Elephas maximus indicus: one gene and its partners. The protein of the gene in region 3 purifies or fractionates together with the protein of the main gene of each other region. This does not show direct contact. Links are inferred from orthologs where the notes say so. Each region holds a gene or a part of one and is shown on either strand. Other genes may lie near its edges.

Region 1 (7,370 bases), on a different chromosome or scaffold from region 3:
AAGTTCCCGCTCTGAAATTTACCAGACATTATTCACTTGCTAGGAGAAGTCACCGTTTCACCTAAAGACCTTTCCTTTGGATAACTTAGCATTAGGTCTATTTAGAAAATTCCAACATAAATTTAACAGGTAACCTCTTACAAAAGCAAAGTGAAGTTCACCTATTGAAAAAAAAAAAAAACCAAACCCACTACCATCGAGTCAATTCCGACTCATAGCGACCCTATAGGACAGAGTAGAACTGCCCCATAGAGTTTCCAAGGACTGCCTGGCGGATTCGAACTGTCCACCACTGTAATGACCAGTAAAAACCACCAGGAAGGGCAACCCTTCATTACAGAAGTGTTCCAAAGCATATGGGTCATAGTAGAAAACCTTATGCAATAAAAGACATCATCTGGACTTCTGGTTAGCTCCACATCTGTAATTCCAAAGCCAGCTGAGATACCACCCTGGTCTTCCCAACCACTGAGAACTTTCTTGCTTGCCAGCTCCCACCAAACCCATCTTCCACCCGTGCTTTCTGCAGCCCCTGGTCAACCCCTTTCACTCAGCTCTCTTCCTATATCCACCTCCACCCAGGGAAACCTTGCTCTCTCTTCAGAGCCTAGCACAAATACCATCCCCTCAAGAAGCTTCCTAATTCCTTCAACTGATAAGGCCCCTTCCTTACCTGGTGCCCACTGGAGCTGACTCCTGCTACAGCACAGGTATAATACCAAGTAGCCCACGCGTTACCCCAGGTCCAGCTCTCCAGCCCTCAGACAAGCTTTCCTGACTTACTGGTTTTTGCATCCAGCACAGCACCTGGCAGAGTGCAGTGTCCAGAGAAGGCCCAGAGATAACTTATGCTAATGTAAACTGACTTTAGTCCTTTCTCTGGGTCTTAGAGAACTCAAAGGAAGTCAGCTCATCCAGACAGGTCTGAGCCATGGAAAGCAATTCACGGGACTGGAAGTGCTTTTCATTTAGCTCTTTTTACTTTTCCATGATTTCCAGGTATACTCATACAATCAAAGAAAATTCAGTTAATGTTATTTTAAAATTAAATCATCCAAGCTTCCTGATAATACCATTCCGATGAGATACTATACAAGACGTTCCTAAAAAATGCTTCAAAGATTAACTCAAGATATTTCTGGAACAGCACGTGTGCAGGGAAGTGACTTATGGTCACTGGGCAAGGCCCTGAGGCTGAAAAACAGTGACAAAAATATGCAGGAAATCACACCTGAAACTGACCACCCCCGTGCAGAAGACACCCAACCTTCCAATCTGAGGACCAGGCATAAATGCCCACCCTGCTGCCCTCTTGCTAGATGACCCCCAGCAACTCATTGAACCTCTCTGAGCCTGTACAACAGGGACCGTATTCTCTCTCACAGAGGATCTGCAAGGCTCCATTAAAGAATATGTTTAAAGTGCTTGACAGGGAGCCAGATACGTAGCAAGCCCTCAATAAAGGTTACTTCCCTTCTTGTGCTTCAACTACAGACTGCAAAATTACACTGTCTTCTGGGTCCACTCAAGAGATGCACCCCAGAGAAGTATTCCAGTTCAACCCAGGAAATACACAAGCGAACTTCCAAAATCAATGCTACCTACCGCCTTTAAACCAAAAACCAAACTCATTGCCATCGAGTCAATTCTGACTCATAGTGACCTTAAACAACAGAGTAGAACTGCCCCGAAGGATTTCCAAGGAGAGGCTGCTGGATTAGAACTGCAGACCTTCTGGTTAGGAGCCAAACTCTTAACCACTTAGCCATCAGGGCTCCTTTACGGCTTCCTAAAACCCTCCCTGCCTTCCACATTTTAGCTATGAAGCTAACCTGGTATCCTAATTATGACAACCAGACTTGTTTTTAGTACAAGAGTCTTGGACCATTCATCTACTTCACCTTGGACCCGAGAATTCACTACATGAGGTGTCGCAACTAATTAAGCCCTGGGCCCCATATGCACAACGGTAATTGAATCTTCAGAGAGTCTATTCCTAGTATAGGCCAAAACCAGGTAATCAGAAGGCAACTCACAAGATTTCTAGGCACACACAAAGAGATGAGGCTTGCATCAAGATTTATAAGCTGCTCAAAGCCAACCTGCTCCCCACATGCCCTGCTTCCAGACTGAAGCTTGATAACAGAGGAAAACTTGACTGAGCCCGGAAAAATACCCAAACACACCTTAACTGCTTCCTTTGAAGCAACCGAAGTGGATACTTTAAGTTAAATTTAAACCCGAGGCTCATTAGCAATGACACATTTTATAGCTCCACTCTTCGCCTTCGGAAAGACAAACAAGCCCCGAGGCCGGCACAGCGCTTCAGAGCCGCCGAAGACACGCGGCCGGGGTTTCTCTTCCCCTTCCCCAGGTTCAGGCCATTTTTCTGAAAGTTGCTTAAGAGACCAAGGCAGCACCCACAAAGGAGACCCCCGGCTGCTGAGGGAGGGGGCCCCCACCTCCACCGCCCTCCGAAATGCCACCCCCAAAAGTCTCGCCCGTTGCGTCCGCCCTCCGGCCACCGCTCCTGCAGCCGGCCGAGCCCACGGGAGAGAGGACGGAGAGCAACCAGCCCACCGGCTGAAAGCGGCCTTTGAATGTGAAGTTGGAAAGCGCCCCAATTAGGCCTCGGCGGCAGTTTCACTTCTGCTCCCCGGGCAAGAAGAGGGGTGCTCGCATCCCGGCACGAATCCGAACCCCTTCCCGGCGAGGGCGCAGCGGCAGTGCGGCAGGGCCCACGCGGGCCGCAGGCAGCTCGCGCCCGCCTCGGCCCCCAGCGGCCCGCGGCGCCGGACGAAGTCAGCCGGTCCCCGCGCCGCCTCACCTGCTTTCTCGATCTTGCCAGACATTTCCGGGCTGCGCCGGAGGCCGAGGCCGCCGCTCATCGGGCCCGAGCCGGGCCGCTGCGGGGCGACAGGCCGGCGCAGCCGCCGCTCGCCTCGGCCCTGGCTCGCCGCGCCTCAGGCCCGCGCCGGCATGGCGGGCTCCGCGGGCCGCGGCCTGTGCGCTCGGCGACCGGCGCTCCAGCCCGCCCGGGGTCGCCGCCGCCGCCGCTCCCGCCGCCAGCCGCCGCTCCGCCTCCTCCGCTCCTGCCGCCGCCGCCGCTACCCCGGGCCCGCGAGCCCGGCCGCAGCGCCGCGCCGCCGCCCGCCCGCCGGGCCTCGGCCGCGGCCACAGCGCCACCTGCCGGGCTCCCGCCGGCCCGGAGCCTGGCCTGACACTCCCATTCGGGACACAGTGCCCCCTGCCGGCCTGGAGTCTCTATGACAAGTCCCGGGATTGACCCCACAGAGAGACTCAGCGCCCCCTGCCAGCTGGAGTCACCAGGCTGGGCCTACGCCTGACGCCTGACGCCACCCGGGGCTCGGTGCTCCCTGTCCCCTGACCCCCCTCAAACCATGACAGCACTCTTTACCAGTTTGAAGTCTCGTGCCAAAGCCGGGTACTTTCCCCCTACCCAGGATACAGCACCCCCTGCTGGCTGGAGTCCATGCCGAAGCCTGGGACTCATCCCTCCAGCCTGTACTCAGTGCCCCCTGCCAGCCAGAGTCACCTACCTGGGCCTAGGCTGGACCCCACCCAGAACTCAACACTGTGTCTCCTGAGCCTGGTCTAACCCTCCCCCTGCCTGATACTCCGCACCCCCTGACAGCAGAATCCACCTAGCCAGGTCTGGGCCTGACTCCACCGGGGGCTTGGTGTCCCCTGCAACCCAGCCTTCCTGCCAAGGCCTGAGCCCAACCCCATCAGGCAGCCAGCAATCCTTTCCTGCCATGCTCACCTGTCAGCCATGGGCTTTTTTTGGATGGTGATGAGTTCATTAAAAGTCATTCATTTAATGGTGATGGAATGATTTTGAAAGAATAGCAAGAATGGATGCTTAACTTGAAGAACGTAATCAATGTTACTGAATTGTACACGTAGAAATTGTTGAGATGGTGGGCGTTTTGTTATGTATATTTACACTACAATAAAAAAAAATTTAAGTCATTCATTTAAGAATCAATGAGTACTAGGGCTAGGCACTGAATTAGGTGCTGTGGGTCCTAAAAAATGCACATGGTTGATTCTTCCCTCTGAAGATCCCATAATTTAGCTGGGGAGTCAAAGTTAAATCATATAACGCAAGTAACAATAAATTTTAACAATACAAGGAATGTTCAAAAGAAGTAACATAAAACCAACTAAACCAATTTTCCCTCCTGTTTCCCTCAAAATAGGTGAATTAACAGTTAAATAAGCTGGTGATAGGGACAGGATTTGGGGGAAGTACAGGGAGAAAGGAAAGGTGGTTGATATAGCAAGAGATTCCAGATTGCATCTCCCCTCACCCTCCGATGGGCCACTGATCTTGTCACTCAGAGACAGCTGTAGATGGCAGCCAATTTTCCAGAGTTGTCAGCTCCAGCCCTCTATGGGGTTAAAGGTTAAGCCAAAGATTGAGGAACTCCTTTCACTTTTTGAGCTGATGAATGGCTGCTCTGAGCCAGAGTGGCAGTGCTCAGCTCTCTTGGCAGATGCACAGCCAGGCACAACTGGCCCCCGGCCCTGTGCCCACCTCCTTGCCACTCATTAGACTTCTAGGCTCCCAATTCTTCTAGGCTTGTGAACTGAAAGGGGCCAGTATTTTATATCTGAAATTCTGAGTGAGAAGTAGAAAATTAGACTGAATGAATATTGGGTTCAGGCAGGGATTCATGAGAGCAAAACCAAATATATTTAATAAATCATGACATATCAAGTAACAAAGGATTTGCAAACATGAAGGCACTTTACAAATGGACATTATTGTAAGTAAGGGTTGTGGAGTTTATTTTAAAAAGGCTATTCATCAAAGATCTTTATATCTATGCAGTCCCTGGGTGGTACAAACAGATAATGTGTTCAGCTGCTAACCGAAAAGTTGGAGGTTAGAGGTTCGAATCCGCCCAGAGGCAGATTGGAAGAAAGACTTGGCAACCAACTTCCAAAAAATCAGCCATTAAAAGCCCTATGGCGCACAGTTCTCCTCTGACACACACGGGGTGCCCATGAGTAGGGGGCGACCGAACAGCAACTGGTTTTTAATTTATATCTACAGTAGAACACATACAGGGTAATGAAGCAAACAAATTCCTGAAGTCATGTTCTTCCCACCTGGGGGCCTTCTCACATGCTACTCCTTCTGTCTAGAACGTTCTTTCTCCTCTTTTTCACCTGGATGATTCCTAGTCATCTTTTGCTCTTTGGTTCAGCGGTTACTTCTTCCAGGAATTCATCCTTGACTCCCACAGTGGGGACAGCCCTCTAATGGTCGAGACATTTAATTTCACTGTCAGAGACCTAGCTCAGAGCAAGAAAGGAAATTTGTTGAATATCGTAGCTACCAAACCAGGGATACAGCCAGGTCCAAACACAGCTAAATTCAAGCTCTTAAACAACAATATTGTATCTCTGTGTTGCCTTTATTCAAAACTGTTCTCCCACAAGACTGGGTTCTATTTGCCCCAGGCTTGTCACCTACCAGCTTTACAACCCCAATGGAAAAAGAGTGTCCCTTTCACCATAATTCCAAAACAAATCTCATGGCGGATGTTCGTTAGCCTAGTTTGAGTCACATGCCTTTTGCTGAGCCAGTTACTGCAGACAAGGGGGCAAAATGCATAGATTGGCCAGCCTATGGATTGTGCGAATTTCCAGTTTGGAGAGGGGGCCACAGAATCAGCAGCCTGGGGGTGGGAAAGGGTGGTTGCTCAAAGCAGCATCAGAGGAAGAGATGCTGATGAGGCAAAACCACAGATGTCCATCTCCGCCACCTCAGACTGCTGAGAAGGTGTACTCCTTCCAAGTACATGCCTCCAGATAGTTCACTGATTCCTCGTACAGTTATTGGTTTAATGTCTGCCCCTTCCAGGGGACTGTGAGCAGGCAGGGAATGTGCCTGGCTCGTGTACTTCTGCATCGCCAAATCCAGCACAGAGAAGGAGCTCAAGCCATACTTGAATGGCTGTTGTTGGGCCTTTTCCCAACATTCCAGAAGAACATTCCAGATGACCACTACGGCGAGGTGGCCAGGAGTCTGCTCCAAGAGCATGTACTAGATAAGGCCTTCCCAAAGGAGTCACACCCTCTTCTAGGCATTTTGCATACAACATTTGGCTATTGGAACAACAGGAATCCAGTGAGGTTAGGGGAAGAAGCAGCCAAAGTGATGCTGATGGTACCGGGGCTCACTTCAGCTTGGGTTGTTGGATCTAGTTTGCATGTACCAGCCTGCTGTGCAATGGATCACTTTTGCATGGCCTTTCTTGCCATGGTCTTGTAACTCCCACCCAAGTGATTTGGCAGGACTGTGCAAATAAGGTAATTGTAGCCCACCAAGAGGACTGATCAGTTTTGCCATCCCTTTAGGCTTAAGATGAGCCATCCCAGAGGTGGGAAAGAGAGGATCTCATTACCACCAAGAAAGAAGAGCCAGGAGTAGTGAGCATCCTTTGAACCCAGGATACCTGTGTTGAGAATCTCTCAGAACCAGGAAACTGAGAGAGAGAGAGATAGAGAGCTGTAACACAGAAGACAGCAAGAAACAGTAGCAGAGAAACAGCAGCAGGAGACCAGCAAGAAACAGCTCAGCCCACAGAGCAAGAAAGCTGAGTACCTTTGGGCAAGAGGCTTGTTGGAGGGATGGGGTGCCTCTGGGCACTGGTGGAGCTAGGTGTGCCAACCCATGGAGCTAGAGCTGAGCACCTCTGGGCTGCAGCTTACTAGCAGAGTGGGGTACCTTGGAGCACTTATTGGCAAAGCTAAAAGAGCTTTGTAACACTTGCCCTAGCAGAGCAGAGGCTGAGATGCCAGAGAGAGGAGGCTGTCCTGATGGAAGAACTATATCCTGAACATTCCTGAGGGAGGCGGGGCGAGATGGTGTAATAGTCAGATGCTTCGTGTGGCCCCTCTTACAACAAAGACCTGAAAAAACAAGTGAATTGATTACATATGACAATCTAGGAGCCCTAAACATCAAAGACAAAGTTGAGGACTTGGACTGAGTGGCCAGGAGAGACAGAGACAGTTCAGAAGAAGAGAAGAAGTGCCAGACTTGACCTAGCTGGCACCTTGCAGGCTGGATCATTTGGTGCAGGTGGGCTGAGGCAAGCAGTAGCGCTTGGGATGCATTTTACCATGCTGGGAGAAACCAGCACTGAGGGGGTAGGGGGAGAAACCGAGTGGCAGGGAGCCTGCACAAGCCTCCAGAGCCAGGGGAAGCAGCACTAGATCTGTGAAAGTTAAGTGCAAGCCTCTAACCTATCGCTCGGGATCAAAATAACCCTTTCCCCCCTGGGACTTCGTAATGGAGAAGTGCCTTTCTTCCCCTCACCCGCCTCCCCCCT
Region 2 (7,623 bases), on a different chromosome or scaffold from region 3:
TTAGGTCCAGTGTGAATACAAAGAAAAGAATGAATATGCTGGGGAGTAGGGATGGTGAGAGGAGCCCTGGTGGCAAAGTGGTTAAGAGCTCGAGTGGTTAAGAGCTCAGCTGCTAACTGAAAGGTCAGGTAGCTGGAACCCACCAGCCACTCCTCAAGGGGAAAAAGACTCAGCACACAGCCTTGCATACCCCATGTGCAGTTCTACTCTGTGCTGTAGGGTCGCTATGAGTCAGAGCCAACTCCACAGTCATGGGTTAGTTAGGGATGGTGTGTTTTAGGGACAGGGGACTTAATGTATTCAAGATGCAATCTAAGGTAGGAGTTGTCTCTGGGTGCAACTGATTTGCACCAGGATCTGTGCAACACAAACCTTCACCAGTGGCAGTGGAAATGTCCCGGGAGCCTAGCTGCCACAGAGCAATTAGTACAGACTCTGATTCTTTACAAGGGAGAAACTTGGAAACTGGGCTTGCTCAAACTTTTCTCTTAGAGTTTATTTCCAAAATATCTCCCACTGGGTGTAGAATCAAGTAACTTCAGACTGTGAGCAGCCACAGACAGGGAGGAAACCCAAGTAGGTTCAAATACACCCCAAGCTTACCACCAGATAGATCTCAGCCCCAACCAGATGCCAAGAGTTGACCTAAGTCAGAGGGTAATTTGATGGAGGGAACCAAGTGGGCCCAAAGCCAAGTGGGGTTAAAAAGATACATATTGCAACAAGACTGCGAGACAAGTGTCCTGCAAGTCCTCTGTTGAGGTGGCTCAGCTGGTCACACTGATCTTGCAAGCAGCACTCAGCTCTGAAATTAACCTGTCTTTTTTTTTTACTAAATCGAAGGGGAGAAAAGGCAGAAGGGCTAGGACACAGCTATCCATCCCCACCCCCTGTCCTATCCCTGACGTCAGGCTTGGCGTGGGTGGTATTAATCACCCCAGCCTGGTGTGCAGTTGAGGACAGCTCTCCTCCCAGCCCTTCCAACCCGGCTCTGGGAGCGTTCCACCAGCCATGCACCTGCCGCTGGCCACAAACCCTCAACTCCCAGACAGGCACGGATGCAGGCTGTCGCTGACAACACTCAAAGCCACAGTGCACCCTTTAAAACCCAGGCTGTGGTGGGAGGAGGGGCGGGAAGCAACAAAACGTGGTACTTACGCTTTCCTCCCAGGTGTGAATTTCTCTAACCTCTGCAATGTCCCTCCCCACGACCCTGCCCACAATAGGATGGTCATTTCCTGGAGATTTAATGAGAATATAAAATTAATGGCCCAAAGAGCTCCTTGGAGCCGGTCATTAATTCCCCCAGGAAACACCCCAAGGTCTGTAATCGAAATTGCCTAAATTATAGGCCAGCGATGCATATCCACGCAGGGCAGGGGGCTAGGTGGGGGGCAGGCAGATATCGTCCCATGTGGTTCCGGTAGGTGGCGCCTGCCTTCATGTAAATAAATCACTCAAATAATTTGTTTTCCATTTCTCCGCAGCAAAAACCAGACAGCATTAAAAAAAAAAAAAAAAGCAGGGGGTGGAGAGGACTTAGTAAAGGCCCAGACAGGAACGTTCTGTCCGAGGGCTGTTTCCAGGCCTGGCACGCATCTCAGGCTCCGAAGACTGAGCCATACCGGAGTGCAGCCAGGGAACCTCAGCTGCAGTCGGGTCTCCTGTGTGCAGACCGTGCTGGGGTTCTGTGCTAGTCACTGGCAGTCAATGAAGAGAGATGTGGGTGGGAGTGGGGAGCGAGAGAGCACACAGAAGAGCCTCTTTCTCCGACCTTTGGGGAAGGAGGGAGGTGTTACAAAGAAAACTTCCTGAAGCCTACACTCTGTGACTGCTGTGTTTTAAGGCCTCTTCTGTCATTGGCTCTGAAACACCCAACTTTTCTATTTGCACATAGAATTGTAAATAACAATATGGGGCCTTTTGGTAAACAAAAGACTCTAACGAGTTTCTGGCAAAATGCTACCTAACCTCAGCTAACCATTGCTGTACAGATGCCCAGTCTGTATCTTGAATCATGTAACTATCAAAGGATATATAATAGAAGATTAGTGTTCTAGGGAAAGATAAGGCATCTGTATGCCTGACTTGCATCACAAATCTCAGCTGCAGCCAAACCATGCAGTTTTCTCAGACTCTTTGCAATCCCTGAGACGTGGCATCATAACTCAGATGTGAATGAAGTCAGAAAGATTGTTTTATTTCAGTTGGGAGTCACTGCCTACTGATTGATTTGGCAGACTTTGAGTATTTTTATATTTACATCTTACAGGATTTCAGTGTACTTTTAAACCCAGAGGTTAAAATGGCCATAAGTCTCATGGTGGCCCTCATGTGGCTGAAGGATCTCTGAACCGAAAGGCCAAGGGAGCTCTGGTTTCATCTATAGCATGAATGTCCTGGCTTTAAATTCTGTCCAGCAGCATACTGGGCAGCGAAGAAGTCCATGAAATGTTGGGTCCCGGAGAACAGATCTTTAAATCTCCCAAGGTGCCTAGAAGGGCTAAGCACATTGTGCAGGGAATAAGTTCTGACACACTGATTGAAGTGGGTGAACATCCAACCCAGCAAAGATTTGTGAACCCAGATGGATATTCAACTGCTTGAAATAAGTAGATTAACTGCATGAAGACAGCAAAGTGAACAAAATAACCCTAGCCACAGGTTGCACAGGGCAATGTGAAATGCTGCTTCTTTAACTCACCTGTCCATAGCACAGTTCCCCATTGATAAAATGGGTTACTATTCACTTCTCAGAGCCGTGGTGGTGCATGGTTAAGAACTTGGCTGCTAACCAAAAGGTTGGCAACTGGAATCCACCAGCTGCTCCTTGGAAACTTTATCAGGCAGTTCTGTTTTGTCCTATAGGGTAGATATAGGATCACTATGTGTCGGAATTGACTTGACAGCAACAGGTTTGGGATTTTTGTTTTGTTTTTGTATTCATTTCTCAGAGCCTCTGGGTGGTGCAAACAGTTAAAACAATGAGCGGTAACCCAGTGGTTCCAGGTCTGAGGTTCAAATCCACCCAGAGGTACCAAAAAGAGACAGGCCTGGTGATTTACTTCCAAAAATCAGCCATTAAAACCCTACTGAGTACGGTTCTACCCTGACACGCAGGGAGGTTGCCATGAGTCAGAGTCCACTGGGCAACTGGCTTGGTATCCACTTCTCAGAGAACTTAGGGTTGGAGCTACGTCTTAATGCTGCTTGTAAAGGTACCTTGCAAATTGAAGAGTTCCTACCTAAGGTATTTTTTTCCCTCCAGCCTCCCCCGCGAAGGGCTGGTGTTGTCAAGTATGTGTTCCGCGTACTTTATCTCAGTTAAACCTCACTACGATTCTGCAAGAGAAGTGCCATTATACAATTTACATATGAGCCCCCTCTCACCCTTCCAAAGGTCTCATAGTGCATTTGAATGAGTTAGAACTCTGGAGAATTTTGACCCTAATTTTTTATACTTTCCTCTGTGACACCATGCTTTCCAATTCACCTTGGAATGTTGTTGGTAATAGGTGCCGTCAGTGGCTCCTGACTCATAGGGACCCCATGCACAACACAATGAGACTACATTGCTCTGTCCTTCCCCATTTTCACAGTCCCTGCTATGTTTGAGCCCATTGTTGCAGCCACTGTGTCAATCTTCTTGAGGGTCTTCCTCTTTTTCTCTAACCTTCTACCAAGCATGATGCATTTTTGTTTCCTTGATTCTGCAAATCATACAAGTTTTCTTCTACTGAATTCTGTTCTTCCAGAGGCAGTGTAGGAGCCAGCTGGACTTTGTTTCCTGACAGTAAGAGGCTCCCAAGCTGATACGCAGACATCAAAGCCCTCTTCCCACTTGAAAGCAGATGAGCAGGATTCCGCCTTCCCTCTCACAGCCCTGGAATTAGGAATCTGGCTCTGCCAGGTACCAGCTCTGGGACCTTAGGCTGTCTGTAAAATGGGAATAATCTTCCCCGCCCAACTTTTAGTTTGCTAAGACAATCATGTGAACAGTGAATGTAAAAGCGCCCAGAACACAGAAGATCTGCTTCCTTCTTTCCTTCTCCCGCCAAGGGGGTGCGAGAGTTAATGAAACTCTTGATGGGAAAAAGCGGCAGACTAATTCCAGCCGGAACCTGACCCGCTGAAACCTGAAGCTCTGGGAAAGGATAGGTAACGCTAACAGGACTCGGGTCCCAGCCAGGTCGACCCTCTGTGAAAAATCGATCCTCAGTCGAAGTCTCGCAGCCCCCTACCACTCACCCTCCCCCCAGGGGCGCGGCCACCTCCCCCAGCCCTCCCGGGCTTGCTGCTTGAAGCTTCAGGGAAAAAAAGCAAGACCTCGGGGGCGCGGCCGGCGACAGCTTGCGGCGTCCGCAGCGACCTCGGGCCTCCCGGGCGGCCAGGCAGTGTTTGCGTCTTTGAAGGCGGCCCGCCGGGGGGCGCGGCGGGCTGTGGGCGTGGCGAGCGCGCGCCGCCGCTTCCTGCTGGGGCGCCCCCTCCGCGGCCGGGCCCGAGTGCGCTGGGCGCGGGCGCGCGAGCCAGAGCGGGCGCGCGCGAGCGAGGCAGCCGGGCTCGCGCCGCGCCGCCTCGTCCTCGCCCCGCGGCCGCCGGCGGCCCCGGCCCGTCCCCTCCCCCGCGAGCTGCGCACCGCCGGCCGGCCGACCCAGCGACCCGCGCCCGCGCCCTCGTCCCCCGACCCGGCCGCGGGCTCCAGTCGGCCGGCAGCATGAGCGGCGGCGGCGACGTGGTGTGCACTGGCTGGCTGAGGAAATCGCCCCCCGAGAAGAAGTTGAGGCGCTATGTGAGTGCGGACGGCGAGCGGGCGCGGCCGCCCAGGGCGCGGGCTGGGGGCGCCCCACCGCCCTTGAAGGGGCTGGGGGCTGGCCGAGGGGCCGCGCCGACGAGGGGCGGGGCGCGCCTTTGGGGTGGAGAAGCGGCTGGTGCGCCCCGCGCCCGGGGGATGTGTGGGGCACCTGCACACCTGTCACAGGTGCGCCTCCGAGGGGCGGGGCGGGCGGGGCAGCAGGTTGAGGCTGCGGCTCCTCCGCTTGGCGGGCGCGTCGGCGGCACCTCCCCAGCCAGCCTGCCTGTAAACTAAATACAGTATTGAAGTTTGTATTGATTGTTTTTGGAGACCGAGAGAGTTGATTCCCTGGGCTGGGGGAGCATAGTAACCCTGAGTGGGTTTTGCATGTGGGGTTGGAGGAGTGGGCGGAAGAGGGGGGCGCAAGCTGTGGGGCCGCGTGGTCCAGCCCCCACAAAGGACGAGGCGCCTGACACCCTCTCCCTCTTCCCTTTCTCTGCCCGCCCTCCCGGGTAGCCGCCTGCTTCCTTCCAGTCCACAGCCTCTGTCTGCATCATGGGCAGCGTCAGCGGCATGTGCAGCCCTTGTATTAAGTGACTCATTTGTTTGTCCCCCCTTCTTTCTCTTTATTCTGCATGTCTCTCACATACACCCCCCCCCCATGGTGACATTGCAGTTTGGTCTCCTCTAACTGGCCCAGGTTTTGTGTTGTGCAGCCCTTGGTGTCTGGGGTCGGAAGAGATAAGATTCTCAGTTGCCAGGTGGTGCTAACCGACATTGTTTACTGAAATTGCTGGGACAGCCGCTCCCCTCTAGGTGAGGAACTAGCAACATCAAGGAGGAGGTAGTACAGTCTGGTGCTGAGCGGTGAGGAGTTCTGGCTTTTTTTTTTTTTTCTCCCACCAGAGGATGTATGTTCCTGTAGAGGTCAAAGTACAAGACGATGCCAGTCACAGAGATTTGCCCGAAATCGGCCCTGGGGTAATCTCAGGAGGAAGGATCCCGGGAGGAAGGTCGCTAAAGGGTCTCAAGGTCTCCCATCTTGTCCCCCTTCACTTCTTATGAAATGCCCTTGCTAGACTGATTCCTGGTGCTTGACTCTCTGGGATCACTCCCACAGCCTGGAAGTGAGCTGCTGCCTTCCAGCTGCAGTGCATCAAGGGAGCTCTGAATAGACCCTGCCCTCTGTCAGCTGCACCAGTGGCTGTCCATGGGGGGAGAGGCAGAAGCTTACCAGAGTTTCCTGTCTTGGCTCCCCAGATCAGAACCAAGGGACTTTTGGCCTCTGGACTGAGGAAGTGACATTCTGTTTTTCAAAGGAAGTGTTGTTGTTGGGGAGTGCAAGAGAGTGTCTGTGTGTGTGTGTGAGAAAATGAAATCGGGCTCTTAGATCATTTGCTGGGGAAAATCTAAGGACTCGCACATGACTTTTCAAAGCGGACGTAGATTTAAAAATACAGTAGGAATTAGGGGATGAAGTGTTTGACTCAGTTTTAAAGTGCATTTTCCAGGGTACCCGTGTAGCCTCAGCATTATAATTGCTAAGAAGGAAATTTTTTCCACATCAGGGTTTTATCAGTTCATCAGGGAAGTTGAGTTTTATATTAGGGTTAAGGAGGAATTTGTAATTAACATTTTTATAAATATCGAAAAAACGAAATCTCTGGCTCCGAAAAGCTTCCAAAAATTATCAATTGAAGTGATTTCATACCAGCTAGTAGAGTGTCAATAAAAATGTGACCCTTAATTGTCAAAGTAGAATACTACCCTAAAGAACCTTGAAATTTTCTTTTTGAAACATTTTGCAAACAATTTAACACTGTATCTACATTGGACTGGTGACTACTTCAGCCCTATTACCCAGACTCTCTATGACCCATTTCTTGGGTATTTTTGTTGCTGGGCAAAAATTTAGTTCAAAATAATCAAGTTTGGAGGCTTTTGGGTCAGGACCTTTTTCACATGTTGGAACTAGTTGACACCTTGAAGTCATAATAACGATCTTAGTCTATTTCTAATCTTCCTTGCAGCTCTAGCCCGCAAGGCAACTGACCAAACCAGCAACAGCTTTTCTTAGACTAGGGTATCATGTGCTCCATTGGTATGGCTGGAAGCCTTTCCTGCTGTGAAAGTTCAGTTCCCTGGTTGAGTCTGTGTCGTTCTGTATAACCCTAAACTCCTGAGGAATAGTCTACCTTTACATGTACTTTTCCTTGGTGTTGAGAATTTCTGCACCCTGTTGTAAGTTAGAACTCTGCTGGTTCTCTGTTCATTGTAGGTCCAAGTTGGTTAGAAGCAAAGTTGGAATGAGTTATTTCTCAGCTTCATTGCCAAACCAAAACAAGCAAAGAAAGAAACCAAACCCATTGTCATCCAAGATAGCAGTTTGGAAAATAGATTACAACTATTTAAAACTTTTTAAAAACCTACCTTTTTGGGTTAATTTCAGATGGTGGTAAGTGTAGGAGGAAAAAACAACTTGGGAGAAGCTTTGGCAAGTGTTATTGGAGATTAGGGATTGTCCCCATTGACATTTTCTGTTTTATTAATCATGTGAAAGTATTAAAGGTCTATCCAGTATTTTCTGTGTGCCCAGAGGAATTGCAAATAATGACCTCTGGAAAATGGTGAGTATTGCCCTCTGGGGTGTCATGACGTTGTTGCAGTGAGAGGTTGACAGGAGCAACCGAACACCCCTCCTTCAGACCTTGTAAACTTAAAGGCCCTTCTCTAGTATGTATGTATCTGTATCTGTGTGTATAAAACCAGCTGCTGTCGCGTCGACCCCGACTTACTGCAGCTGCGTGTGTGTCAGAGTAGAACTGTGCTCC
Region 3 (7,053 bases):
GCTACTAACATGCCAAACCAACTCTCAAATGGCAAATCTAACATGTCAAACTTCAAGCTTGGGAGAGGGAATTCAAAGATTCAGCGTAACAAAGTAAATCTAATCAGGACCCAATTCAAGGTGCATTGTGACTGCCTGAGATAACAGGGAAAATGAACACCTAAATTACAGCAACAGGCTGGGAGTGGCAGCACAGAGAGAAACAAAGCTGAACTGTGAGAGGGAGGGCCTGGCTCTGCAGGGTCAGGAAAAGGTCCACTATTTGTGAGGGGGCTAGAACAACAGGTAAGATTTCAATAGGGAAGTGTGGGGCGGAGGCAGGCATTCAATGAAGATCCAGCAGCCCAGGCAAAGGCATAAAGGTTTGAATTGGGATGACAACCAGGGGACAATGGAGCAGACTAGTGGGGCTATGCTAAAGGAAAGATGAGAGGGGCTGTGCAAGCAAAGGAGACAGAAAGACACATCTGGTATTTGGGAAGACACATCTATGGAAAACCTGGCCTCAATTTTGTGGGAGTGGGAGTCATTGAAGCATACTCTTTTTTCCCTCTAGAAGGGGATTGTCCCATTCGCTCCCATTTTTTGAAACATCTACATGATAGTACCCGTAACCTCAATGTACGAACAAGACCTTGCACATACCAAGGCTGAATAAATGCCTGAAATTAATTACATCATTCACCTTCACAAATTAGGAAAGTTAATTTACTTATATTACAATCTCATTACAGTGGGTTCCAAGATTCTGTCTAACCCCTTATATTAGAATTACATTGTACTCAAAGTTTACCGGTTTCCACCAGTTAGATTCTTGGTGTCCTGGTCTTTGTTTAACAGTATTTGAGTATTAATCACATTCTCCTGGTCCATTTTGTCCAGCAGTTAATCTTAAGGCACTATACTGTCACGGCTTTGTTTTGTGTGTCTCTATCCCACAGAACCAAAAATTTGGTTCCGTTAGTGCTCCGTAATTTATTTTAATAGCTTTCAGTGTTTAAAGTTTATAAATAAAATGTTATCTACCTATGAAAAGTCAGAAACATCTAAACCTGAAAAATCTACTCCAATACCTTATCCTTTTAAAATACATATTTAACAAACAAATCAGGTAGTGAAACACCTTTTAGTTAAAAAAATTTTACACAATTTCTTCAACTCATATTTAGCATTCTTTTAGCAAAAGAAACTTCACAGTATCAGGAAACCGGATAAAATACTTATTACGGCAAACTAAAGCAAATGGTCAAGTAAGACAATGCATTTTACTTGGAAAAGAGGATGTTTGATGCTCAGTGTCACTGTGGGTTCTTAACCTAAAAGCAGATATTAAAATCACTAGACTTAAAATAGAAATTACATTTGAAATTGAACTAGGATAGAATTAAGACAAGTGCCATTCAAAAATCTCCCTTAGTAAACATGCTAGCCTTATTCCACCTCGGGACTTAACCAAATGGATCTCTAACCTATTAATAGTCCAGCTTGAAGAAAACGGAAAACACATTTTCAAAAAAGAAAAGGCCCTCGCTGAGGCCAAAGTATCTTTTATTTATTTATTTGGTAATTTATAGTACTGTAAAATAAAAGATGTCTGGCCCATGTCAAACTTAGCGCCGGGTTATCAATATACAATTTTGATACTTCAGCTTAAGGTCTTTGTTTCTAAACGCTAAAGCGTATTCATTTCTCAACCGTTCAAAGGTTGCAGTTCAGGGGTTCTTAACCGGGAGCTCAGAGATCCGCAAGGAGCCCAAGAACCTCGAACGGTGTGCATACGTGTGTACGTGCATTTTGGGGGAGAGGGGAGGATACTATGGCTATCTTCAGATTTTCAAAAAAGTCTGTGGTCCAGAAAGAGGTTAAAAAAACAAAAACAAACAAAACCCTGTTTTCGTGTGATTGCCAAATAGACAAAGTGACAAAAGGCAAAAGGCGTACATTTTTAACTATGCAACCACCGTTAAACATATTTAAAACGCATGCTCTCATCCACAGTGACCCAGATCCTCACACAGACCTTCTGTTTGGAATACGTTCTGGAAAATAATTTGGTTCCGAATGGGGGACAGGAGTTCCAACCACCATCCCCCACACTCCTCGGCCCCAAGCGAACCAGCCTGTCCATTCTCCCACCTCGTCCGCGGGCGGGGCGGGGCGGGGCGGGATCGTACCTGGGCGCGGGCTCGATGAGGGTGGTGGTGTCCAGGTAGTGGATCTTGTAGAACTCCAGCAGGGCGGGCAAGTGGTCAAACTCCTGGTCCCCGATCTTAAAGCGGCGGTTGGGCAGCGAGTTGATGATGTAGTGGGAGACCCGCGAGTTCTCGGACACAGACAGCACGTAGTCCCCGGGGCAGGTGGAGGAGTCGCGGACTAGGAACATACCGTGGCGCTGGCCCTGGAGCCGAGTCTGCGCCTCCTGGCGAGACACTGGCCCCATGTACCAGGCGGAGCGATCCGAGGAGTCGAACCTGGCGGAGGACATGGTGTCGGGCCAGGGGCTCTGTGGACGGTCGGGGTGGCGGCTGCTCTGGAAGCCTTTGCCTGGCAGATGGCTTCGGAGCCGAGGAAGGGCCTCCCGGCACACCTCGGGGCGCACTCAGAGGGCTGGGCCGGCACCTGCTTCGCGGCGCCGGGCCCGCAGCATTCTCCGCCGCCGCCCGCCTGCTCCGGGGCCGCCTCACAGAGAAAGCCGGCCCGGGGAACGCGGAGCAGAGCCGGGGGACGGGGCTGGCGAAGGCGAGACCCAGCGGAGGCCGCCCTGCGGGTCTCGGGCAGACCGGCGTACCGGGAGTGCCTCCAGTGACTCCCAGCCTGGAACGCGCCGCCGCCGCCCCCACACAGCTGCGCACCGACCCCAGCCGCCACGCGAAACACCGGACTGCAATGAGCGTCGCCCCTCCAGGGCAGTTTTGCCCAGTCCGTTCCCAAGAGCCACAGCAACAAAATGGCGGACGCGGGAGAAGCGGCCGGCCACCTCCCCCTCCGCTCAGCACGCTCCGTCTGCGCACGCGCAGCGCTCTGACTCCCAGCTGCCGCCGGGGCCCTCCCGGTGACAATGCGCGGCGCAGCCAATCAGGAGCGCAGCTCGGAGCCGGGGCGTGCACCTCCCGAGCCCGCTCCCGCCTTCCGGGAGGAGGGGAAGGCGGCGGCGGGCACTCCCTTCCTGGGCCGCGGAGCGCCGCAGGGGGCGCTGCTGTCGCCCGGTCGACCTGCCCTCCTCGCTGGCAGGAAAACAGCTGGAGCCGTGGGGGAGCGGCATTTCGAAAACCTGCTTCTGGGGAACAAAGAGTAAAGTGCGGAAGCTATGCGGAGAAATAGGCCGAATCTTCAGCCGGGGAGGCGTGGCGCTGAGGCGACCTGGCCGGCCGAGGGACCCGAGGGGCCCCGCACTGAGGGAGACCGACAGGCGGACAGGTCCCGATGGGTCGCGGTGACTCAGGAACGCGGTGGGCCGGCCGGCTGAGGTGACCCTGGGACTGAGATGTCACCAGATAGGTGAAAAGGTGGCCCAGGCCCGAGGTGTTAGTTGAGTTACCGTACGGGCACCAAGGTGGGTGTGAAGGTTGGATTGACAGGATCAAGTGGTCTGGGAAGCCTGGAGGGCGTCTGGCCATCACTCGGTGAACTGCTGCAAGTACAACGCCAACGCCTTGGGATTCGGCCTGCTTCTCCGACTTCATCTCCGACCGTTCCCCTTCTCTTACCCAGCTCCAGCCGTGCCCTCTTAACCTATTTCCACCCCCGCTAGCATGTGTATTTTAAGAGAGCAGATATCTTGGCTGTCTTGTTCACCCTTGGCCTAGAGTTGATGCTCAGATATTTGTTGACAGAATTGAGAAAGACCACCAAGCTCCTGGTGCCCGATTATTGGTAGCATCACCCCTGGAACTGGGCAGGCAAGAGTGGGAGAAGCAGGCAGCACAAGCCCATACCTAGATCCCTGTGCCAATGGAATTTTACTTGGCTGTTTGCACCCCCAGGTTAAACATATCCTAGACTGTAGGGTGACGAGTGGAGTCCGTCCTAGGGTAAGGAGAATGTCAAGGTCTAATGCCTTCAGTGACTCAGCATAAGTAAATTTTCATCTTCCCCCAAATGCGCTTGCATGTTGTATTAGTCTGAGGTACAATTTGAATAGCACAGAATTTGAAGCTGAATGCTTGGGTTCAAATCCTGGCTCAGTCACTTGACTAGCTGGGTAGCTTGGGCAAGTTACTTGATCATTTTGTGCCTCAATTTGATCTATAAAATAGGGATAATAATAGCACTTACCTCCTAGGTAAAAGTAAGTATGAAGGAATGCAAGTTAATACATGTAAAGTGCTTAGAATAGTGTCTGGCACATGTTAAGCATTATGTAAGAGTTTTCCATTATTATTATTCAGCCTCTGCCTGGGCCTCTCCCTCTATAGGCTAAAAGCATGTGCAGATCTCTAAATGGGTGAGTGAAGGCTGGGAGAAAAACCTCCATATGATTTTCTGTTTACTTTTCACTGCCAGATTTTACCATTCATCATCACCCACTCCTTGTCCAGCCTTCCTGATCTAGTTTCTACCTGTACTTTGACCGAAACTGGGCTCTTCAAGGAGATTACTGATCTCCAGTGAAACCATTATTCTTCTGGATCTCCCTGGCCACATGTGTTTATATTGGAAATGTCTTTCTGGAAAGACTTCTTTTTTTGGCTCCTGGAACAGTAACATAGTTTTCTTCCTACCTCTCCAAATATACTTTTTCAGTCTCTTTCTATAGCACTTTTGTCTCCAGCTCCTGAGTGTAGAAGCTCAGTCCGTAATCTGCCTCTACAGTGCCTCCTTTGATAGACTACTCGTCCTGAAGGCATTAGGGGTCACCTCCCTGTTGATAACTCCAAAACACATATATTCTAAAAGTAAAACAGAAAGTGGCCACACCCTATGATTACTATGCAAACACAGTAATCACAGCCTAATACAATTCTTATCACATTGTATTGTAAATGTTTACACGTATCAGTCCCGTCCTAATCTGTGAGCATTTTGGAGGCTGACTATAGCAGTATTTTTTATATTCCCAGTGCCTAGCACAGTGCCCCACACATAATACATACTTAATAATTTTTTTTAATATATATGATGAAGTAAAGAAGCCAGAGAAAAGCAAAAATTTATTTCAGTGACGATAAGGAGATTCTATGATTGTTTTCTGTTATTAACATAATAAATTTATTTAAAATACATAGTTTGGCTCCATATCTCCCTCTGTGTTTAATCTTTCATTTGGATTGAACTCTGCCTTTCAACTTCCCCTTTTATGGCAATAACACCACTGTTTTCCTAATTTCCAGGCTTAAAATTGGAGTCCTCTTTTACTTAACTGAAGAACTCAATAGTGATACCTAATTTTGCTTTTCAGTTCACAAAACTTCATATTGTATTACTTAATCCAACCAAAGTCCTATGAAGTACGCATTTACAGACGATCCAGAGGCCCAGAGAGGCTAAGTGACTTGCTTCAAGTTTCATAATTTGCAAGAGGCAGAGCTGCCATTCTTATTTATTTTTGGCGGCCATGTATACAACCAAATACATCCATTTAAAATTTCTACATGAACACTTCAATGACATTGGTTGCATGACATTTGTCACCATTCTTACTATCTCTACCCATATTTCATCATAATTAATTTAGGCTGTCTGCCCCTTGAAGTTCTCATCTGTGCTTTAGATTAACGGTTGTCAGTTTAAACTCACACAGATAATTCTTTAGAAGAATCAATGCTCAAGGCAAACATTCTTTAGTAATTGGGCTAAGCTGTTAGTTTAACAGTGACTTAATGGGATAGTTTCAGTGCAAGATTTAAAGATTATTTCTGGGCATTAGATTTGGGTGTTCCAGTCTCAATGGATCCAGTAAGTCTGGTTTCCATATGAATTTGAAGTTCTGTTCCCTGCTTTTCCTCCACTTGATCAGGATCCATCTGTTGGATGATCAAAACATCTTGTAATGGTAGTCAGGCATCATCCATTTCTTCTGGTCTCTGTTAATGGAGGTAGTAGTTTATGGAGGCAATTAAGCCTGTAGACTATTTCCTTCACCGATTCCCGGGTCTTTTTCTTCCTCTGCTGGTCCAGAACAATAGAGATCAGTTGTATCTTGGGTGGCTTTGTGCAAGCTTTTAAGACCCCAGGGGCTGCTCATCAAACGAGGTAGAAAAAAACTCTAAAAACAACGTTAAACCAATTGACTGGATAGACCCATGAAGTCATGACTTTGAACCAAAAAAACTAATCAATGAAGTATTTAATTGTATCTAAGTATTATAGTATCAACAGGTGCAGCTTTTTTTTTTTTTAATCTTTTGGCTGTTGTAAAATTACGTACAATGCTTTTTTGCCATTTGACCTTTTTTTATTTTTTAACCTGGCATACAGCTTAAAACGGTAACAGCTACATTAGTCTAGTTGTGTAACCACTACCCTTAGTCAATGCCAATTTTCCCATTGCCATAGACAAAAATTCACTACTTCCCAGTGCATGAGTTCCCCTTTGCCTCCCTGCCTCCGGTAACCACTAGTAATCGTTCCTCTCTATGTAATTACTTATTCTTGTCATTTCATTAAGTGAGATCATACAATATTTGTCCTTTTGTGATTGACTTATTTCACTCAGCATAATGTCTTCAAGGTTTATCCATATTGTAGCATGTGACAAGACTTAAATTTTCTTTGAGGCTTGATAGTATTCCATTGTATGTATGTACCACATTTTGTTTATCCATTTATCTGTTGATGGACACTTGGATTGTTTCCACCTTTTTGCTATTATAAATAATGCTGCAGTGAATATCAGTGTTCATGTCATTTCTTTTAGGTTCCTAGGGTATGTACATAGGAGTGAAATTGCTGAGTCATATGGTAATTCTATTTTTATAATCTTTGAGGAATTGCCATACAGTTTTTCCACAGCAGTTGTACCATTTTACATTTCCAGCACCAGTGGATAAGGGTTCCAGTCTCCCCACATTCTCACCAACATAGAGCCAGTATTCTTAAACCAGGTCTTTTGAC
Region 4 (6,897 bases), on a different chromosome or scaffold from region 3:
ACAGCAAATCCATTCATTAAAAACCATTATAAAGCAACGTTTTGCCCACTGGGTGGCCAACAATGTTTCCTTTCATCCAGAAAATAAAGATTCTACGTGAAAAGAGAACAGGCATAGGCAATGCATATATACATAATCAACGGCACTGGGTTTGGTTTTTTGGTTTTTGGGTATCATTAATGGTCAAAAGCTGCTTTAGCAAAAACAATCTAAATTGGATAAAAAAAAATTGGATACCTAAGCCAAAAGATCAACAATAATCTGGGAATGGCAACATCTTCTGGGCAACCAATTTCACAGCTAAAAAATGAGACAAGCCTCACTTAAACACTCTGCCTCATCCTCTTAGCTACCTCAGCTGAGAGCCACCCTGCCCACCGTCTTCCTGGGCCATCTTAGCACATTCCACTACTACGTAAAGAAAATACACTAGTGCTCCACTGGGCAAGAAAAAAAAAAACAGCCTTTCCCCAGCTGTTAGGGGTATATTCTTCCCTCCGCTGAGGGAAAACACAAATATGAGTCCACTGTCTCTCTAGTCTTCCCATGGTTCCAGACTACATTGAACTTGTTCCTTGAAACACATCTACAAAGCATCCATACCACTCAACCTGGGCACATAATCATAAACTACTTTGCACTATTGGTTCATTTTTCACATATGCCTGTCTTCCTGAAGACTCGAAAAGCTGCTTCAAGGCAAACTCCAGGTCTGACATTTCTTTTGCACACCACATCTGCTCTACAGCCCACTTCCTCCTGGCATTCTCAACTAATATCCACAGACTCATAGAAAGTTATAATCGGAAAGAACCTTTAGGGATGATTTAGTCCAAGCCCCGTATTTGAAATGAACTAGATGAGCCTCATTAACCTTTTACAGCTCAGTGAGTCAGGTAGACCTGGGTTCAAATCCTGCCTCTGGCATGTTCTGGTTGGATAGATTGTTTTCTCACCTGTGAAACAGAGATAATACCTACCTCATAAAATAAGGGTCAAAAAAGAAAAAAATAAAAATAAAATATATACACACACACATTTGAACCTCCTTTTTTTTGTCCTTGTTAAGACACAATCTTTTTGGTTGATTTTCCTTCTGGTTTATACTACATTACATTGCAAGCCTAAGAGGCAGGACTCCCCCCACCCGCCTATATTTTCTAACCTTATGGTACCTAATAGAGTACTTAGCGTCTTTCGAAAAAGCCATAACTAACATGTGAAAGAATGCATTAAACAAACCTCTATTACCAATACCTAGTTCCCCAAGAACCTAATCACTAGACTACTAGTGGAAAGGTTGGCAGTTGGAACCCACTCAAAGGCACCTAGGAAGATAGGCCTGGCTATCTACTTCCAAAAGGTCACAGCCCTGAAACCCCCGTGGAGCAGTTCTACTCTGCAAGCACAGGGTCATGACGATCAGAATCAACTCTGTGGCAACTAACAACAGCTGCATGTCTTTCCTAAATTGTGTCTTCTCGAAACTAACATACCTCCAGCTCCCTACCCACCCCCCTCTCACACACACCTATCCCTTTAGAACCAAGAGCTGAAAAAACCACTGCCTCTCCCCTTATTTTTGGAATAAAGCTAGTATCTCTACCAGGATATGCAGACAAACAGTTGACAGGTGGAGTGACAGAGTTTGGAAGGATTCAAAATCTCTGGAGAACTTTCTTAGGATTTATGGCATCGATCCCTGAAATGAGAATTACTTGTCTATAACAAATTCTGGCAAAAGTAAACCAGAAACTCACTGGTGAGCTGTCAGTGAAGTTAAATATTGCACTTCAGTCTGTTCCATGAAAGCAAACAGTGACTAATACGATTAACTTCAGCTCTAATACTGGATGGAGATATCCTCCAACAAGAAACAGGTTCCAGTAGCACAAGTGTCAGTCCCAGGTAGAAAATTTATATTTGAGTGAACATAAATACTGCTTTTTAAAATTTTACTAGAAAAAGTATTTGCTCCGTACGCCAGCATAAAAGTGTTCTCTCTTTCCTTTGCAGGAGGCAGCGACAAAAAAAAAAAAAAAAAAAAAAAATGGGGGCGGGGAGATCTCAGACGCCTGAAGAGGACATAGATTTCCACTAAAGTTGGTTCTTTCAAGGAATATTTTTTCCAACAGCATCGTGTATCAATTACACAAATGCCATTTAAGCCACGCTGGTGCCCTGGGAAAGATTGGCAACACACAGAAATTCCTTCTGGCTTCAGCTGTCCCCTCCTGCGGGGCTTGACAGCGCGTTCAAGACGCCCAAACACCAGCCAGCAGGCTCCCCCCAGTGCCTTCCTCTCGCAGCAAACCGCCAGGGCTCTCGGGCCAAACTCCAATGTCCCTCAATTCAAAACCGCGAAAATGTGAACCCTGCTAAGCAAACGGTAGGGCGCGTTAAGAACTTTTTCTTTTTGCGCAGACATGAGATGCTTGTCTCCGATACCAATTTCTTAGCTCCACCGTCCCTTCCCCGAAACCCACCTCCAAGGGAAGTGAAGAAAGAGCGTGGACCAAAGAGGGCTGGCGGCCCCTACGGTTTTCCTAGTGCCACCACCCCCATAATTAGGTGCAGAAAGATAAAAAGAAAGGAGAATGCGCCTCTCCCCGCCTTACCCCACCCCACAACTGCTAGAAGCAATAGTAAAAACATGCAGCGGGAGTTCATCTGGAAACCCTGGGCCCTCCTATGGGGCGGTAAGGCCCGAAATGCAGGCCGTCCGGAATCTGGAGGAAGAAAGTTGCCAGGCGAAGTGAAGTGTAAGCCAGGGCGTGAGTGTACAGCACCCGGTCCCCAGCCTGATGGGAGAAGGGGCCGAGGGTAAAAGAGATGCGGATTAAAAAGCCCCGCGCGCGAGCAGCTGCAGCCGCCAGCCAGCTCGGGACCGGGTGCCGCTGGCAGAGCCTCTACTTACATAACGCTTCAACTTTTTCTCCGGCGGGGACTTGCGGAGCCACCCCGAGCAGACCACTTCGCCACCGCTCATGATGCACACCTCTCCGGCCCTGAGCGGGGCAGCTGAGGGGCGGGCAGGCGCGCTCCCGATACAGCCGACGCCTGCGGGGCGCACAACGGCGAGGTCCTAGCTCTCCTGGCCGCGCACCCTCCGCGGACAGGACAGGCGAGCTCCCAACGCGCGCTCGGCCCGCTCTTGCGCGGGGCTCCCGGCGTCCGAGCGTCTCGCTGGCAGCTCCACAGATGTGAGCAGAAGCGGGATGCTCCGCCGCTGCCGACCGCACTGGGCAGCGGCTGCCGCGGGGCCGAGGGCGCCCCGGCCTCTCCTTAATGCGCCCGCCTCGCCACCAGGCGCGCCGTCCCACCGGCCGCCTCAGCAGCGCTCAGGCTCAACTGGGCCGGCGTCTTCGCGGGACTCTATCCGGACAAGGAGCCAGCGCCTCGGTGCCTTGCGCTCCGCCCCCTCGGGACAGAACCTCCCCAGAGAGCCTTCCGAAACAGACACCGCTGCACGCACACAATGCTCCGCGCGGTGCCTACTCCCGCTCGCCCGCTCTCGGTTTCGGTGAGCCCTGCGCAATCCAGTCCTTCGTCCTCCTCGAGGGAGGGCGGCTCGCTTCTCTGCGGCGCCCGGGAAGCCGGGAGGAAAGGGAAAGCTGAGAGGGTCCCGCGTGCAGCGGGTGCAGGCAAGGTCCCGGGACGCGGAGGGAGCCGCCCAGTCGGCGGCGATGCGCGGCGCGTCGACGAGGTGCGGGCGCGGAGAGGGCGCAGGTCCCGCCAGAGGGTGGGTCCGTTCTCGCCGCCGCCGATGAGGGCGGGGAACGGCGGAGGAATGAGGCGCCCGGCTGCGGGGAGGGATCCCACTGTCCCGTCCCCTCACGCTCCTCCCCCGCCACCTCCCCCACCCTGGGGTGCGCGGCAGGTTCTGAGCGGCCACGGGTCCCGGCCCGATCCCTCCCTCTCTTGGCCTCCGGGCTGCTGTTCCTCCCTTTTCTCCTTCTCCTCCCAGTTCGGGCCCGGCTCCGGTTTCTGCCTAGACTTTCTCTGAAACTCGGCCGGAGCGTTCCAGCCAAAACAACAAGGGCTGGAGGAGGAGGAGGAGGAGAACGAGGGAGGGAGCGAACTAAGGAGGGAGGGAGCCGGAGTCCGAGAGGCACCCTGGGATCTGTAGTTCGGAACGCGAGAGCAGAATCTCGGCCGCCCGGCGATGGTGTCGGTGGGAGCCCCCAGAGTACCCCTCGCCTGGGAAGGCGGCGGAGGCCGGGCGAGGGCAACCCCGGCGGGGCTCGGGCGCGGGGAGGGGCGGGGAACGTTAACATGTTCAGTGCCGGGCTTACCACCTTGAGCTAGCCCGGGTGTCAGTTCCGAGTGCGTACTGTGCTCCAGACCGGGAGTTTCGGGGTTTTCCGTGTTTGACTGTCCACAAAGCCAAAGAGGCCAGACAGAGACCCCGGCGTCGTAGGGAGGCGGCGACTCCGCGGGTTCCCGCCGCGAGAGACCGAAGAGCCGGGTCTAGGACGGCTGCATGGCGTCCTGGGGACCGCCAGGACTGGGGTGGGAGAGTCCCTGGCGGCGCCGCGAAAGTGGTGGGAGCACTTCATGGAGCCAAAGAATTTGAAGTCCTTCGCTCACCCCATTTGTTGTCAGCTTCTTCCACTTGTATTTGGTTAAAATCAACCCCTGCCCGGTATGTTTGGCTAGAAAAGGGAAAATTACTGAATGTTCTGTTCTACTTGCCTGTTTGTGTGTTTTACAATTATTTTACCTGGGCTTGAGTGTAACATGATCCTGTAATGTAATACATTTTCCAATTTATTTACGAAAAATAAAGCCCCAAAACAAATTTTAGAAGGCTGTAGTTGTAATTTTCCGTCAAGTCGATTTGGACTCACGGCAACCCCATGTGTGCAGAGTAAGACTGTGCTCCTTAGAATTTTCAAGGCTGTGACCTTTTCAAACTAGAGAGCTTCTGCTTCTGAGTGGATTCGAACCACCTCTGAGCGGGTTTGAGCTGCCAACCTTTCCTTTAAGGTAATAGTGAAGCCCTGGGTGGTATAGGATAGTAAACAAATAAAAGGTCAACATAAGTACAGATTGTGATAAATGTGCTATGAAGGAAATAAACACAGCAAGGTAAAGAATAACAGGTGGGACTAGGTCTTGAGGAGGTATTTAGCCAGAGATTTGAAAGATGCTCTAAAGAAAGAGGAGAATCAGAATTGGTTTATTGAAGGATAAAAGAGTTAACCATAGAGAGAACTGGAGAAAGAATAAGCAAAGAATTACTTCGTACAACCAAAAAATCCAAACCAGTTGCCGGCGCATTGATTCTGACTTATGTCGACCCCTTCCTTGTGTGACGCAGCAGAACTGTGCTCCATAGAGTTTTCCATGGCTAATTTTTTCAGATGTAGAGGCATGGGGGAGGAGGCACACCAGGTGACACTGTCAGAGGGAATGTCACCAAAATGACTATAAAAAATCTCATTAGTTACAACAACAGAAACATTTTTCATAAGCCCAGCTTACATGTGTTAATATACCTAGGAGGCTAAAACTATGCTAATTTATTTTTTGAACAGTCTAATGCGATCCCATCAGAGCTGTCGTTATTAGCCAATGGCAATGACACTGCAAATCACGCTGGTTTCATCTACACATGCAGCAAGCACACGATATTGTTTTTGTTGCTCCCAGTGTTTTTATAGTCGCCGATTTTGCCAAATTTTCTGGTGTTTTAGCTACAATATTGTGGTAATTAGTGTTTGTGAACCTCTATCAATAACTTTTTTGAGAATGAAGTAGTAATTAAATGAAAAGGAGTCATATATGAGAATTATGATTCATAAGTAACATTAGTACAAAAAACATTACTAAGGCTTCTGTATGATCTGGTACAGGAGGAGCTCCCTGGGGGGTGGGTGATACCTGAGTTACTGCACTGGGTGACACCAGCCCTAGCGACACCGCTGATCACCAGGCTTTTCTTCTCTCGCACCTCTGAATGGACTGGAACCACCAGCCTTTTGGTTTACAGTCACAGCTACACACATTAACTGTTTACACCACCCACGGACTCCTGGTTACATCATAGTCCAAATGGAGCCCCCTGGGCACCTGTAAGTGTGGCAAAGAAAGACTCTGAAGAAAGAGCAGAGAGGCTGCTGAATTGTGCAAGCCCCAGACTCCTAAACTGGGGCACTGATAAATGACACCCCCATTACACAAGCGTAAATGGCTTCATCATTCAGTAACTCTCCATTAAGTTAATATCTCCATTACTGTAACCCGTATCAGAAAAATACTATGAAAATAGAATTAATTTAGCAACCTAGTAAGTAAATTATCGGAAAATAAAGCTGGTATTCTAAACCTATCTTCAGCTTACATAAAGAGCTTAGTATGTAGAAAAAATAAAATCAGAAGAGGTCTGGTTCCATTGAGGTTTAGAGCCCTTCATCTTTTTTTTTTTATATATAATTTTTATTGTGCTTTAAGTGATAGTTTACAAATCAAGTCAGTCTCTCACACAAAAACCCATATACACCTTGCTACCCACTCCAGATTACTCTCCCCCTAATAAGACAGCCCGCTCTCTCCCTCCACTCTCTCTTTTCATGTCCATTTCGCCAGCTTCTAACCCCCTCCACCCTCTCATCTCCCCTCCAGGCAGGAGATGCCAACATAGTCTCAAGTGTCCACCTGATCCAAGAAGCTCACTCCTCACCAGCATCCCTCTCCAACCCATTGTCCAGTCCAATCCATGTCTGAGCCCTTCATCTTTTGACAGGTACTTTGAGTATCACAAGGGCTTGGTTTTTAGATCTGGATTCATTTTTCAGGTCATCGATTTTTCAAATCATGACCTTGAGCAAATTACACGGTGTATCCGAGCTTCAGTTTCCCAATATGTGAAATGGAATAATAATACTGATATTG

What was found.
Region 1: the proteins of CRKL (region 3) and RAPGEF1 purify together in Homo sapiens (affinity purification with western blotting; 16 studies listed by BioGRID and IntAct, with this or other methods). This does not show direct contact. The link is inferred for Elephas maximus indicus from reciprocal best matches to the Homo sapiens genes CRKL and RAPGEF1.
Region 2: the proteins of CRKL (region 3) and GAB2 purify together in Homo sapiens (affinity purification with western blotting; 3 studies listed by BioGRID). This does not show direct contact. The link is inferred for Elephas maximus indicus from reciprocal best matches to the Homo sapiens genes CRKL and GAB2.
Region 4: the proteins of CRKL (region 3) and GAB1 purify together in Homo sapiens (affinity purification with western blotting; 3 studies listed by BioGRID and IntAct, with this or other methods). This does not show direct contact. The link is inferred for Elephas maximus indicus from reciprocal best matches to the Homo sapiens genes CRKL and GAB1.

What each region holds. Positions count from the first base shown.
Region 1 is NC_064827.1:82,641,622-82,648,991, forward strand, and holds the start of RAPGEF1 (rap guanine nucleotide exchange factor 1), read right to left. Parts: upstream 3,019-7,370; 5' UTR 2,889-3,018; coding exon 2,828-2,888; intron 1-2,827. UniProt on the Homo sapiens protein: Guanine nucleotide-releasing protein that binds to SH3 domain of CRK and GRB2/ASH. Transduces signals from CRK to activate RAS. Involved in cell branching and adhesion mediated by BCAR1-CRK-RAPGEF1 signaling and activation of RAP1.
Region 2 is NC_064825.1:43,711,020-43,718,642, forward strand, and holds the start of GAB2 (GRB2-associated-binding protein 2), read left to right. Parts: upstream 1-4,604; 5' UTR 4,605-4,714; coding exon 4,715-4,789; intron 4,790-7,623. UniProt on the Homo sapiens protein: Adapter protein which acts downstream of several membrane receptors including cytokine, antigen, hormone, cell matrix and growth factor receptors to regulate multiple signaling pathways.
Region 3 is NC_064840.1:21,415,773-21,422,825, reverse strand, and holds the start of CRKL (crk-like protein), read right to left. Parts: upstream 3,017-7,053; 5' UTR 2,486-3,016; coding exon 2,175-2,485; intron 1-2,174. UniProt on the Homo sapiens protein: May mediate the transduction of intracellular signals.
Region 4 is NC_064831.1:41,427,855-41,434,751, forward strand, and holds the start of GAB1 (GRB2-associated-binding protein 1), read right to left. Parts: upstream 3,001-6,897; 5' UTR 2,990-3,000; coding exon 2,918-2,989; intron 1-2,917. UniProt on the Homo sapiens protein: Adapter protein that plays a role in intracellular signaling cascades triggered by activated receptor-type kinases. Plays a role in FGFR1 signaling. Probably involved in signaling by the epidermal growth factor receptor (EGFR) and the insulin receptor (INSR).